2 linked regions of the Daphnia pulex genome follow. Each later gene encodes a partner of the first gene's protein in a complex. Links are inferred from orthologs where the notes say so. Each region holds a gene or a part of one and is shown on either strand. Other genes may lie near its edges.

Region 1 (7,510 bases):
AGCTGATGCTGGATCGTCACCCTCTTACGAAGCACCCAAAAAGAAGCACTACCCAGTCATCATTGGTCGCTACCAGGTCACCGACTCCAGCGCCTTTTTGCCTAAAAAGGTCGGCGGTGAAAGTGGCGGAAGCAGTAGCGGAAGCAGCAGCGGAGGGAAATCGGTCGGATCGCAAGTTCATGGAGCTAATGGAGAGGAATATGTTGTCTATTACTTACCTTACGGTCAGCCACTTCCGATTCCAGTCCGACGCAAGAGAAGCACACAAGACTTGGAGAACGTCCAACCAGTCTACACCATCCGGCGCTTGAAGAATTTGGCTGATAGCCAGCGTCACCGACGCAAACTGCGTGGAGAGAGCCCACCGGTACACAAATAAAACAATTCAATTCAATTAGCCAACCAAATAATAAAATTTCTATTTGTCATAGGAGGAACAAGTACTTACTCCGGAGGAGGTCCACAAACAGGTCGCATACGCCAAAGCAGTTGAGACTGCGAGAGCTGAAGTGGTAACTGAAGAAGCCGTCACCGAAACTGTCCCCTTTGCTGTTCCAGTTGTCGAAGAAGAAGTCCTTATCCCAGAAATTGATTTGAAAAAGGTACAGGATGAGACCGCTTCAACTCAAGACGACGTTGACCGAGATGAAATCGTTGCACTACAAGTTGACGACCTAGTACAGAACGACAATGTTCCACCACAAGCTGACATTTCAGACGACGAAATCGTTGCACCTCAAGTTGACGAAGTGCTTGACGAAATCATTTCATCATCAATTGATGTTTCACAGGATGAAATCGTTCCAGCCCAAGTTGAGGAAATCTTGAAAGAAGATCTTCCAGTTCCGGCTGAAATTGTCCAGGAAACCCCATCCGACGACGAAGACGATGTATCAGTTACAACCGATTTGCCAATCACCATGGATGAAATGATGGTGGCCAAGATCGAAGAGGACTTGACTAGATCTTCCATGCTTCCCATGACTGTCGTAGTACCAGAGACGCCCATGTCAGATGTTGAAGAACCTGTAGGAGAAATTATCATTGTCAAAGTATCGGCTGACAATGAGGAGAAACCTGTTATCGTGGCTGTCGAAGAAGTGAGCGTCTTACAAGTTAACACGGCTCCTGAGACGGAAGAAGAAGAACCCCAGGTAACTTTTGGTATTGCCGAAGAGCCTGTTGTGGTCATCAATGCTGAAACACCCATCGAGGTAGAAGATGAACCTGTTGTGGCTGTCGAAGGTGGAGTCGCCAATATCGATTTTCTTACGGAGACGGAACAGGAGGAAGAAGTGAATGAACCTCCATTCACCTCAGAAGTGGCTTTCATCACCGAAAAGGGAACCAAGGACTACCCTGCCAATCCATTTGCATACGAAGGCAAAAAGAAGAAGCCCGCAATTTTCAAGCAGTCCACCTTGCCCGGCTTAACTCAAAGGCCCGTCAAGTACCTAAAGCCTCCCGGAATAGCAGCCGATCCTAAGGAGAGTTCCGGAGGTTATTCGACCTGGTGGACCAAAATCGGATCACGAGTTTCCAAACATTATAATTACGAATAAAGTGAATGAATGTAGTATTGAAGTTTATTACCTGCAGCACCGTGATGTAAAATCAGAAGAATGATGGGTGTCACGACCGCTTGGCGCTAGTGTACATGTCACCATTCGTCTTTTTCAGCATGCCTGCATGTTTGTTTGGTAGTCCCCTGTTGGTGTTTAAAAAAAATATGCGCCAAAACCCATAATGTGCGCATTGAATTGCAGTGCCTTTACCCGCCTCTTCACCTACCAAAGTTTATTCTTTCTTTCAACTGATGTATAAATAGGTGTTTGATGAAAACAGAATTATACGATTTTTATATTCCCAAATGCAACCGACACGCTTCACTTGAATTTTATTCTCACTAAAGGGAACTGGTTTTTAAGTGGCAATTTTTTTTTTCAAATGAATTACACGAAAACTTTAATTTTCATTACACGCTGGCGACAACATCTTTGTAAGTTGAATAGGAAACGGCGAAATCGAAGGGGAGAGCAAATAACATTGCGGTAATCGGGAGAGTAGACAAAAAGAAATTTAACAAGCCCACGAATCAAAGGAGAATTTCAACGTACGTCCCAAGCCGCCCAATACGATCGAGTATAGAAAAAGGAAAAATAATGTTCTTACGAAGAAAAACCGCAGCAGTGATCAGCTCCCGAAGTTGTGAATAGCGTAACGGATGATTAATCCGTAGACCAAGACCCAAAAGGAAAAAATGTTAATTTCAACGGTCTTCCAACAAATAGGCACGATCGAGTGAATATATACCACGTTAATATACATAATTTAACCGACACGAATGGGAAAAGACGGTCATATGGTAATAAAGATGTAGAGAATTGCAGAAAATAAAGAAACAGGGAAAATGGGGTAAATTTTAGATTTTACCAACGACAATATCGATGAAATCAACCCATGAAGTGGTGCATAAAGCCGCCAACTCTTGGTGATTCAGACAAAAGCTCCTCCATAACCTGATCGCTGTCGTAGAGTGAATCGTCACGACCGATAGGTTTGTCAATAACAAGAGGTGACACAAAGTCCATCGATGAGGGCAAGAGGTATTTCTCGAATGGATATTCTGTATCCATGACAAATGTGTCAGTTGTAGCTTCAGGTATACAAACCCTCTGATTACGAATCATGATGGTGTGACAGAATACAATCTAAACGAGAATTTCGGTTAATTACGTTACAAATCAACTTGATTGATAGTGGTACAACCTGCAGATGTGAAGCGGATTCTGCGAATTGTCTGACAGTTGTAGCGTGACAATAGCGTAGTGGGTTCAAAGGTGAGTTGACAATTCGGTTCAAATCCAGGGCTTGCAATCGGGCGAGAACTGCAAAAATGATCAAAAGGTTAATTGAATTCCAACAATAAGAAAGAACGATCATCGTACGCTTTCTGTCGTTGACAATATCTCGATGCCTAGCAGCCAAAACGTAGAAGGGAATATGACAAGCGGCATAGAATGCTGCATGGGCTCGGATTTTAAAAACAGCTGCTCCCTCACCCTTTGATTGCCGATCGAGGTATGCGTGAATCCACTGACACACTCGATCCAGACAGTCAATGACGTACCTTTAGAGAAATCACGAGTTAATGTTTGGTTTGATTGGTCTTATTATCACAAATGTGAACGTACTTCATGGGTACAAAAGAGGCTCTCCCCAAAAACGAAGCAAGGTAATCGGCACACGATTTTCGAATATTCAACTGAGATGAAGGGGTAAGAAAAATGACCCACAAGCGCTCAGTAAAAGCTTCATAGAGAGCAGTTTTGGTACTACATATGTAGAACATCAAGTAATGGACATGATGGATACCGGCGGCCGGTAGTATCAAAGATTCGAACGTAGCGTACATGTCCTGATAAAAATTCCGATGAACAATCCATTCGCTATGACATTTGCGATGACACAACTCAAACATAACTTTCATGATTTCGTCTAACGTTTCAGAAGCTTGATTCAAGACTGTATCCTCATCAAACTCCATAGGCTGATTGAATTTTTGTAGCAAGTCCTCTCTTGAAACTCTGCTGTCCAATTTAATGATTCTATACAAAAATTATTCAATTAGTTAATTAAAATAAATGAATTAAAGACTGACATACCTTCCAATGATGAGATGTAAAACACGGGGTCCAGACATTTCATGGTATTCAACAAAATGTAGAAGATTTCTGATGTAGTTTACTTGATTGCAACTGCTTGATCCAATGTAGGGAAAACCATTATTTAAAGAATCCCAAATAATACTTTGAGACCTGTCAATACAAAAACATTATTTTCTTGATCCTGGAAACAAATAATTACAGGGCTCTTACAATGGTATCAGCTGCAAAATTCCCCTCAAAACTAGATGCACATTCGATGTAGATTTTTCACAGTCTGAATTAAGTGTCAGATGTGAGACTAGCATTTTGACTACTGATCTACAGTAGAATGTGTGTGCTGAAACTAGTGTTTGGAGAAATGTCAAATATTCATCAAGTACTGGGGGCTGTCTTGTTGTCCATGAAATATGCAGCAATGCATCAACAAAGGAATCAACTTTTGGAGTCAGCAGACTGATAGAGCTGTTTACTTGTTGAAGAATCAGGAGTAAAAATCCATCCTAAAAATAAAAAAATTCTTAGTTCGTAATCTTGTAATCCTACGTCCAGTTTTTTCCCCAAATTACTTACATTGACATTAGGATCATTTTTCAGATTCAATAATTGGTGATATTTCACTTCGCTTCGCCCTTCGATATAATCCTTCAAAATTGAAACCACGTCAATTGTGACCAAGGAGTCAAATCGGACCTGCAAAGGCTGGGAAAGTTTCTTGGGTTGCATACTGATTCGCGAACTGGGTTTCAATATGGACTGTGGTATGGGAGTCAACTGGGAGCAATTCGTACTCGCCATGGCTATCGTTTCTTTTACTTAATACAATAATAAAAAATAAAACTACTTGGTTCTCGAACTCTTAACGATTTCTGATTTTACTATAGTGATGAGCTCTGTGCTTGTGATCTTTGCAATCACTAAAACTGAAAAAAAACGGCCAAGACCACGTTGTCTCATCAATGTAGCTCTCACTGCTCGCGCTGATTTTTTATCAGTCTGCTAGTGCGATGATACTATTAGCCTACAGCGTTGTCAAATTTCTTTACGATTTAATACATTTATAAATTTAAAATAATAGTTCCAAACATCGAAAACGAGCAACATTTTATAAATTTTATTATTAGGATTTTTTTTTAACTCGAAGCCAAAATGAAAACGAAAGTTGTGGTTAAAGTTGTTTTGCCATAATGACTCAGGTAAGATGTGACAGCTGTATTCACGCACGATATTTCAACTTGTTTTGACAGAGACAAACAGCTGGCAAGTGACAACGTAATTTCCGTAATAAAGCGTACGATCGAATTATCTTTAAGTGTATCCATAAATTATCTCAAACATTCCATATAACATTCGTTTGCTGAACTTTTACAGGAAGAAATATTAGAGCTAAACACTCATCCTGAGATGGTCAACATTCTTGAAGCTGTAAAAGGAGCTACGCTTAATTACGGAAAAAGCAGCATGGAGGTCGACCGCGATTTTAAAGTAAAACAATCGATGTAATTTCTTCATAGTTTCATATCATCAATTTATTTAAATGACAGAATTGGGTTGCCACTTCACCTTTAAGTGTCCCTGCTAGCCAAGGAGAAGGGACCAATTGGGGCAAGTTCCTCATGATTAGCTCTGTTCATCAAGAGTTGGCCAAGAATGTTTCCATTATGAAACGTGTTGATGGTGACTTTGAAGAATTTGTGAGAGCTCTCAAGCAAGACAGACAAAGAAAATGGTCACACATCCAATGGCTAGAAACATCTGCCAAAATGACTGAGTATCATATGTTTGTCTAAATGTGTTATTTCTGTATTTGTAATCACCAATTATTTCTAAAGACTTGGGATGTTATTAAGTCAACCTGAATATCAAAAACTTCTTGGTTTGGCTCTTTCAACCACTTTTGGCAAACCTCTACGCTACTGCATCCAACATGAAATTGTTCCAGCTGCAAGTTATTGGACCTATTATGCTGATCAGCTAGAGTCATGTCCTGTTACTCAAGTATTAAATTCATTATCAGTTGCATTACTAAATTTTTTCTACTAAAGTTTATTGGTTTTTTTTTCAAAGATTGGGAACAATATTGCTGTTGTAATTGTGGGTTCATCTAATCCAGTGCTGTCTGTGTCGCGTGCAATCGCACCACTCGTTTCGAGAGGAATGTAAGCATAAGTTAGCCCTTTATCTTATTGATAAACGAAAATACTGAATTACCTTTTGACTTTAGGCCAATTGTATTGGTCCCTGAAAATGATCTTCTAGCAATTCCATGCCTTTTAATGGGGGAATTTTTAAACAAAGTGGGATTGGACTGCAGCGTGTATGCCGGAAGTTCTGAAAGGTTGAAAGGAATCACTTCTTCAGAGGGCATCGATATTATTGTTTGCGGTAGCTATGATCAAGCGCTCGCATTGCGCGATGGAGCTTCGAATCTCAAATTGGGTAACTTTGTGCCGTGAGATTTTAAATAATTTTAACTAATCCTGTTTTTTTTTAATGCCAAACAAGATCTCGACGGGAAAAAAGCAGTCGTGGTGTTGGAAACAGGTGATTGCGATGCCGCTGTAGATGCCGCACTTACCGCTTTGAAGACGAGTAGCTTCAACAGCTGTGGTCTTTACCTGATCGTTCAGGACTCTATGTTGGAAGAGATTGATTGGCGTTTGCGAGAACGCTTCAACGCTAGTCGCTCGGGCGAATTATTAGATAAGACTATTGATTTTACAGAAGATTCTTGCTATCAAGCTCCCTCAAAAGTGACCGACTACCTCCAAGGAACTAAATTAGATGTAATTATTTTTGTTTTTAATATCCCATTTCAATTGTTTGTTCTAATAGAATGTCTCAGATTTTGAACGTAGGGAACGCCCGTGTTATTTTCAACGCACAACCTTCAATGCCTATTACCCAGTGGGGAATTCTGGGGCAAACTATGCTTGTTTTCTCTTATCGCTCTGCCGCAGAGTTACTCAACGTTCTTACAAATCTCACCGGCATGAGTGAAATCTCATTGTGGTGTGAGCAGCAGTCTATCGCCATGCACATCATCAACCAATTCAAGGTATTACGATGTCGTCATTCAAATCAAACAAACCACATGATAACTTTGGACGGTTTGTAACAGGTACCTCGCATTTGGGTCAATGGATTCGCTTCTTACGAGCCAGGATTTGATCACTTGCTGCCCGTTAAAGACAGTAAACTCAACAATGTTTCATCCTTTGGGGATGGAAAGCCCAACGCAACTCTGCTTCCCATTCTCGATAGTCTACGCTTGACGCAACGTTCGTGGGCTGGCCAAGGAAATAGGAACGTTCTAGTGACCAAATTTCTCAAGCAGTTGCTGACACAAGAGCCATTAATCACCAAAACTGGTAAGACATTCGTAATCCAAATTAGAGATACATTCTGTTGAAAGATGTGCTTTTTTGCAGACTTACTGTTGGAATTAATTACCGCAATCAGTCGCGATACGGGAAAAGTAGCTACGAGTGCAGCTAAACGTGGAGTTATCTTCGACCTTGCTGATCCTGTAGGAGTCATCGCGCTTATCGCTTCAGACAGTGATAGGCTCGATTCGTTGATCCGAATCATTACGTTTGCCTTGTTAAAAGGCAATGCGATTATGTTACTCAATGTCCATAGTACAAGTGCTATCGCTATGAATCTCCTCAAGTAAGAATTTAGCGTCCGTTATTTCTTTGCTTATCATTTGGTTTTTTAAATTTCTTCGTCTTGATAGGATTGCCAAGGAAGTCGGTTTGCCAAACGTTCTCATCACTTGCCCGTGGAACCAAGAAAACTGTCGAGCTTTGTTAAACCATCACGGCACTCGCATGATTGTTACG
Region 2 (7,318 bases), on another chromosome or scaffold:
TCTTAGACTCCCGGTCGCCGAGACTCGACACCATTCCCCAAATCATTTCCGCACATTCAACCCACCAGCCTCTATATCCAGCCGTAGTCTCCTAACTCGTGCATTGTTGACCAGAATCGACTTCTGGCAAAATATAAGAAAAGAAACAAAAGAACTTGACGAGAGAAAGTGTGTTACATATTCTTGGCTGAACTTGGCGTGACGTACTCGATCTGATTGCCAAGAAACGGTTACCAAAAGGATCGAATCCAAGAAGGAAGTCTCTGGCGTTCCGACGTACCCAACTCGCATTCTCTTCCAAGTCCTAGCCCAAGACCCTAGTATCACCGTACGTGCTGAAGAAGACATTGACTCGAATAAACAAACTCCCCAAAAGCAAAACATAAGGTAAACAAGATCAACGACCAAGTTCTACGTACGGCAAGGGATCCAAATAAGACAGCGACGGGACTTTTTGGCCGATATGAGTTGGCACAAACAACACGAGACTTTTAAACTGGACGCGAAAAAAAAAATCAGAAAAATCAACTCACACAAAAAAGTTCGGGATAAGATCACGTGGTGTTGGTCCATCCAAAATTAGACCCCGGAGGTGCTGGGAGCGCAGGATTACTAGGATCTATTAGGAAGGAAGTTGGCGTAAACACCGCCCACGCTCATCCTTCCCTCGTTTTGCGATCGCGATTTACAGTACATCGCGGGATATGTGCTTGTGACATTTAGCAATCAACCCATCACTCTTCTCTCCCTCGTGCCAACGTGAATCTTACTGATAGCTTGCCCACCCATTTCGCAAAATGTCAGCTGTGAATGCTATGAAAACACGAAAAACACAAAAATAAAAGGAGGAATGAAGCTGTGTTCCTTTTTTTCTTTTTTGGCTGTGATTTGCGATGCCAGAGACTCAACCGAGATCCACTTCCTTCTTCTTCTTTTGTCTTCGCGTCAGGAGCACTCACGTATACACACACACACACAATCACATTAAAACGCATCTTCTATTGTTCCCATTACGAGATATCCTCCTATCTTTTGCATTTTCTAATAACTTGGCTCCTAAAACTTGACGCTGCACGAAAGACGGCCTAATATCTTCACTCGTTTTTAGTTGGCGACGTTCTAGTTTTGTCATCACAGCAAAAAACAAAAATTTTTTTTTGTTGTTTTTGGTTTGGCTGTGAAGCAAAAAATGAACGAAGAAAAGAAAACAGTTGAGGGGATTTCAACCGCCCCAATAATGGGAGACTTACCGGCATATAGTTGCTACGCAGGGATGACGTGTAGGCCGACGATGATGAACCGCCATAGGAGCTACCGTAGGAGCCACCATATCCTCGTTGACTGGAGTAGTAGCCTGCCATTGCGTAATCGTCTTCTCCGGATCCGAAGAATGAAAATAGGAAACGATAGGGGTTCAAAACCGAAATAAAAATGAATAGACAATCATAGGCATAAATTTATATGAGGCATTCTCTTACCCAATTTCTGTTGTCCAGCCAAGTCCAAATGAGAAAAAAGATCTCCCTAATTAACAACTTCACGATCGGCCCAGATGGGGGAAAGGGGTCTTTTGATTGAGGGAGACGGTTTTTCTTTCGTCCGGCCACCAAGCAGAGTGCGTCGTCGACTGTACTTGTAGTGAACGTGGAGATGGAAAGCGACCCGAGTGCTCTACGTCCGAAACAAAACTCTTCCACAAGCTCGCAAGCTTCCACAAGCTTCCACGAGCACTAAATTTAGATGCCACGGTCAATGAGAAATAGACTTAAGAGAAAGAGAGAAAAGAAAATAGGAAGAAGAAGAAGGGAAAGAGAAAGGGAGAGGAGATAAAAAACAAAACAGAATACACTTCTTGTTCTTCTTCCCATTTCCTTCATCTCATCTGCCTAGACTTTCTTGGCACCACCTACGCATATTCCACAATGGGCTAAAACGAATTGGCGGTGTAAACAAAATGTGAGAAGGAAGGAAGAAGAACATTAGAAGGAGGAACATCTCGGTTCACATCCAAAACAATCAAAACCTTAGGATCCAAGGTCAATAAGAGGCTACTACAGCTTATCTAGCAAGTCTAGCGCCAACGTTTCGTAAAACCAGTAGCGAAACAAACAGAAGCCATTGTTGCAGAAGGCAAATAAAAATAGCGATGGAAAGGAACATATGAAAAAGGATAGGTATCCTTCCGTAAAACCAGGAAGAATTAGTTGCTCGCCTCCACCCCTCAAATTTTTTAAATAAGTCTTCCCTTCCTTCCGTTTGAAAAGCTCCGGTTTCGGTTTCTAAATGCAGTTCTGGGTCACTCGGCTGGAATCCTGGGTGATAACTATATCAACGGCACAAACGCCTCCAGGTGAACTAATAATGCGTAATCGTCATGAATCAACGCGTCTATTTAGGATACCATTCCTACAGTCCATTCTTCAATTCATCCAAAAATACACGGCATTTTTGTGACAGGATCTTGGCGGCTTCAGTGAAGAGGACCTCCGGCGCCAGTGCTCCAGTAGACTCGATGTAAACTAAACACATTTTCAAATGCATCGCTAAAGTAAGGAATAAGCAAAAATCCAATAACAATACTTACAGATGAAATGGTCGCGTGCTCGGGTCAGCTTTACAGTGTCCTCTTTTAGATCTTCGTGACGGAATACGTTGCGGCTGCAGATGTCATATCGGGCATCGTTGACTTTGGCAACCTTCTTTTCACCTGAAATAGAATAAAAAGGTAGTGCTTCACACTAATTAAGCTAGAAGAAAAAATATAGTATGTAGCAAACCTGAGTCGACCAAATCAATAACCCCAGGGGAAAAGCACTTTTGTAATCTTTGGGCAGCTTCACCTTCCACTTCCTTAAGAAGTTTCACTTGTGGTAGGAGACGGTAAAATGCGGTAGCTTGAGAAAATAGAAAAATAGTTTTTGTTTAAATCTCGGTCCAAAAATTCTTAATCATAAAAAAAAACAATAAAACTAACCAACGGGTGAGAATTTTGCATGTTCTCGTCCGGTCCCTTTCATTGCGTGCAATTTGATGTCAAGTTCGTGACCAGGTCTCATTTTTGCGATTAGAATGTTATCGTCAACTGGTCCAACTGCATCAGGGGTAAAGATATCTTTTTGGCCACCCAGTGGAATCCATTTCAAATGAGATGTCAAAACTGAAAAAAGTAGGTCAGCATTCTGTCGAAAAAAAAAGGTTTGAGTTTCCCTTCTTACCTCTGAAATCCCTGTACAAGTGTTCAGGATTTGTATGATCTTTAGTCCTTTGAGGATTCCACGAACATTTCACTTTTAACTCAAATTCAAGTGTATCTTCAGGAGTCCCAGTATCATCATCTAAAATGAGAGATGGGGTAACAAAGATTCAGTTATATGAAGTAAGGTGACAAAGAAAAGAATGGGTGTTTGGAGTATACCTTCAGCTCTGAATTCAAACAATCTTGGGTCAGCTTTCAATGGTATCAGTCCCAGTCTGTGGGCCAAGACTTCATCTTGGATGATTGAGGTATTGTTGAACATGAAGACTTTGTCGAAGGCCATGGTGGGAATATCAGACAGCAAAATACGACGAAAAGCATTTGGTATGGCTGGATCAACACCAATCAAATCAAACTCCATTTCCATATTTTCCATGCGGACAATGTTAATTTTGAGCCTCTACAAAATCAGAAAAAATGGTAATGCTCTCTTTTTATCTACTTATAGTGTAGAACTTTTCTTAGAAGAACCTTTTTGAACTTTTCAAAACTCCAACTGTCGTCAAACCCATGATGATTTCCTGGGAAGTCTGTGGCTTCAGCCTAAATAGTTATTTTTATTATTAAATTTGGTTGAACTTAGGAAGATTTCTGTTATGTAGTATTACATTAAGAACTTCGAATTCTGTCAGCACGAGTTCATTCCTACTTTCATCAATGTATTCCTTGCTTGATGAATATTTAACTTTACTTTTACTCATTTTTCCGTTGAGCTTTAACACGTGTCTGGACGAGGGAAAAATTGGCAAATAATGACTATTGTGAAAAGTGTCGTCTGCTTTTATTTATTTTTAAAATTTACTGCAAGATGTCGCCACCGTCTCGCCACCGTCTCTCAGTTTAATTCAGTTCAAATCGAAACCGCTTTTCTAGAAAACAAACGGACATATATTATAGGGTAAAGGTAAATAATAAGAAATTAAATATTATTTTGATAGCCAATAAACACCCTCCTCTCAAAAAAAGAAAATCCTATTTCCAATAGTATTTCAAGGAATTTGTTGAGTTTTTATATTTCTATTTTTTCTGAGGCAAATAACACATACACGTTAGACACAGTAACTGTACACGATATAAACAGTTAGCTTGGATGTTAGCGCGATACTTACGGTATAAGCTGAAGTATATTCGGCGTATCAAACAGTCCGAACTAAACTAATACGTCAGCATTTTACAGACATGTAATGTATGGGTAAATTATTTCTTTCGGAGGAGAGAGAATAAATGGGGCATTTATCCTGAGACTGAACCATCTATGAAAAAAAAAATGTATTCGTCTTTGTCATTTATTTAATTTTTTGTCTTATTCTTTGAAAGAATGTATTTGGACATGACAGCAATTCGTGAATTGATTTTGCTGTTATCGTCGCTTGAAGCTGAAGCCCTTGGTGTTCTACGTCTCGAATACGACTCCGGTTCTGCTGTTGCCTGCGGGATCGGTCCTCGATCAGATTTTCCTGTAATTAAGAAGTTCATTTGCAGGTAACAAAAAAAATTACAATTGGTAGAGGATGTGGTTTACCTGCTGCGTCTTTTTCCAAATCCGAATCCTTGTTAGTGGAACGGCTAGACAAGTACATTGAGTAGCGCTTATCGTAGACGGGCGGATCGTAAGATGAAGAGTCGACCGGCTTTATCGACGACGGCCTGGCATACGAGCTGCTGTAGCTAGGACTGTAGCTATCAGAGCTGTAACTTGAGCTTCTCTTCTCGTAATCCTTATCATCGTTCAGATAGCTCGAAAAGAAACGAGACAAACTATTGATATTCATTAAATACCATCTGGTTCATTTGCGTGAAAATTTGATTTGTTCGTTACCGAGTAGAGGGTTGGGTGTTGGTCTTCGTGGCGAAGCGATTGAGCACTGACGAAGTCGCCTCACGCAATTTGCGTAAATCTTCTTCGATATCCTGAAAGTGAGCTAATGGTTTGTTAATTGATCAAACAAAAATGTAGTCAACTTATAGAATCAAAACTTAGAACCCAACGGTAATTTCTAATAATTTGAGCTTATTCTATCAGCTATAGAATAAAACTATTTTTAAGATATGCTACGCTATGCAAAATACGTGGGTGGTTCACAAAGCGCTCAAATAAATTTACCTCTAGTTTCATGACGGGTTCTCCGTTAGCATCATCATCCAAACACGAAGCGGCACTGTAGCGCGCCCTGGTCGTGGTACCGGTAGTCTTGACGGGTGCAATGTCGTCATCACTATCCAAGTACGACGCACGAGTGTGGCGCGAACGAACCGGGATTTTGACAGGTTCAAATTCTTCGTCGTCATCATCCAATTTCGAAGCTCGATTACGACGGGGTCTGTCTTTCTGAGTATTGACAGGTTCAATGTCTTCATCATCGTCTTCATCACATTCAAGTCTATCTCGTAGATATCCGTCTCTCTCTCGAGCAAACATCGATTGCGGAAAATGATTCGCAACTCTCGGGACGGCTCCTCGGCAACCCGGTGCCTGAAATACAAACAAGAAGAAGTAATTGAAATTTTTTTTTTAATTTGATCATAAAAACGTTATGAATTTTGCTTAAGGAATTTTTATTAAAATAACTAACTAGGCTTTAGGCGTGTATAATATCAGCAAACTGGTTGGGAAATAAATCGCGCATACAGCCTAAACACATTCTATTTTCCACCAGCCGCGCTAGCACTTGGCCAGTCGCCACTATACCAGCATTTCCTTCTTTCCATATGCACCCCCTATCTCTATTTTTTTATTTTTGGTTCTTTAATTTACCTGTTCCGCATTCTCATCCAAGTTTTACACGCCCAAGTTCCGAAAAGAAGGGATCTGAACAAGATACGATGAGAGGTTTTGACCGATAGGAGCTAACACAAAAATGAGCGTTCAAAATTAGACTGGCTGGATAGGAGGGGGTATGAGAGAAGGAGACGACGCCAACAGGAAATTAAAGTAAACATAGCTGATGTTCCTTTTTTTTGCGACTGAGTTGAATAATAAACATTCCGTATTAAATTTGTCGACACATTTCTCTCTATGCTCATCGGTCATCTCCTTATACTAATCTCTTACCAAATCCATTAGGCCTGTACGCAGAACCGTCACCTGATTTTTCGGCAATCGCTTTACATATTCGCACAACAAATTGTCGCTAATTGTGTGAGTGGTATTCAAAAAACGTACATCGGAATCGAAAAACGGCCTTCTTATCTCAATATGTTAAGGTTGGCAGTTTTGTCATTTTCCAATATTCGTTTAATTAAAAGCAGAGCGTACCTGCATGTAATTGCCCTGCATGGAATTGGTGTAGGGCATCGGCGGAGGAGGACCGTAGATGTTTCCATTGAGACCGCCGTAGTTAGCGACATTTCCTCGTGGAACTGGTAGTTCGTAATAGTAGCCTGAGCCCTCCATCGTAATAATCTTCATCGCGTCCAATAGAGAAGGTAATCGAATGGTTAGGCGATTATAGCAATAGTATCTCTATATGTCACTTACCAGCAGGTTCCCTTTGTGTAGTCGAGTTCGAATAGAAATGAAAACGGCACTCGTTTCAGGTGGAGAAACAAATGGACTGGGAAGGTTTTTCTTTCGTCCGGCTACCGTGGAGAGTTCGTTGCCTACTGGTTTATAGAGAACTTTGGAACGGAAACCAACCCGAGTCGTTCACTGCTGAAACAAAACGTCTCCACAAACTTCACAGTGCAAGCGAGCGCTAAATTTAGATTACAAGGCCGTTGCTTTCAGCAGTGGGTATACTGGATATATGTATAACGTTGAAGGCATGCCGAGCAACACGTATACTACTATACTCACTATACTCAAACGCAATGGAAGGCTGGTGTCGTCTTTGAATTATCCCAGTTGTAATTAAGCACAAGCACGATTTCCTTTTCTTTGATGAAGTATACCCATAAACATTCACATCCTAGATTAATGATTTAGCATTCAATTACACAGGTAATCGTCTAATCGACCGTAGAAAAAGAGATTCTGAGAAAAAAGCACGTCCATGGTCCAAATTTGATAACATTTATTACTTTCAACTGACATTGACTCTGTTTGTCGATAAATATTATCGA

Evidence for each region.
Region 2: RNA polymerase I-specific transcription initiation factor RRN3-like (region 1) and DNA-directed RNA polymerases I and III subunit RPAC1-like share a complex: the UniProt entries of both Homo sapiens proteins name them as parts of the pol I pre-initiation complex. The link is inferred for Daphnia pulex from reciprocal best matches to the Homo sapiens genes RRN3 and POLR1C.

Annotation. Positions count from the first base shown.
Region 1 is NC_060026.1:14,528,212-14,535,721, forward strand, and holds RNA polymerase I-specific transcription initiation factor RRN3-like, read right to left. Parts: upstream 4,686-7,510; 5' UTR 4,464-4,685; coding exon 4,239-4,463; intron 4,169-4,238; coding exon 3,879-4,168; intron 3,819-3,878; coding exon 3,666-3,818; intron 3,609-3,665; coding exon 3,195-3,608; intron 3,131-3,194; coding exon 2,949-3,130; intron 2,889-2,948; coding exon 2,770-2,888; intron 2,712-2,769; coding exon 2,454-2,711; 3' UTR 1,881-2,453; downstream 1-1,880. Other genes in the region: protein piccolo-like, read left to right, coding at 1-367, 432-1,562; uncharacterized protein LOC124203933, read left to right, coding at 5,070-5,150, 5,210-5,436, 5,498-5,663, 5,733-5,824, 5,890-6,104, 6,171-6,451, 6,511-6,723, 6,787-7,036 and 2 more. UniProt on the Homo sapiens protein: Required for efficient transcription initiation by RNA polymerase I (Pol I). Required for the formation of the competent pre-initiation complex (PIC).
Region 2 is NC_060020.1:1,788,984-1,796,301, forward strand, and holds DNA-directed RNA polymerases I and III subunit RPAC1-like, read right to left. Parts: upstream 4,022-7,318; 5' UTR 3,958-4,021; coding exon 3,865-3,957; intron 3,800-3,864; coding exon 3,728-3,799; intron 3,657-3,727; coding exon 3,416-3,656; intron 3,336-3,415; coding exon 3,216-3,335; intron 3,158-3,215; coding exon 2,975-3,157; intron 2,895-2,974; coding exon 2,778-2,894; intron 2,708-2,777; coding exon 2,585-2,707; intron 2,520-2,584; coding exon 2,407-2,519; 3' UTR 2,402-2,406; exon of another isoform or gene 2,373-2,401; intron 2,324-2,372; 3' UTR 1,489-2,323; downstream 1-1,488. Other genes in the region: sodium/potassium/calcium exchanger 1-like, read right to left, coding at 1,251-1,361; uncharacterized protein LOC124192222, read right to left, coding at 4,547-4,713, 4,779-5,014, 5,076-5,167, 5,361-5,729, 6,513-6,650. UniProt on the Homo sapiens protein: DNA-dependent RNA polymerase catalyzes the transcription of DNA into RNA using the four ribonucleoside triphosphates as substrates.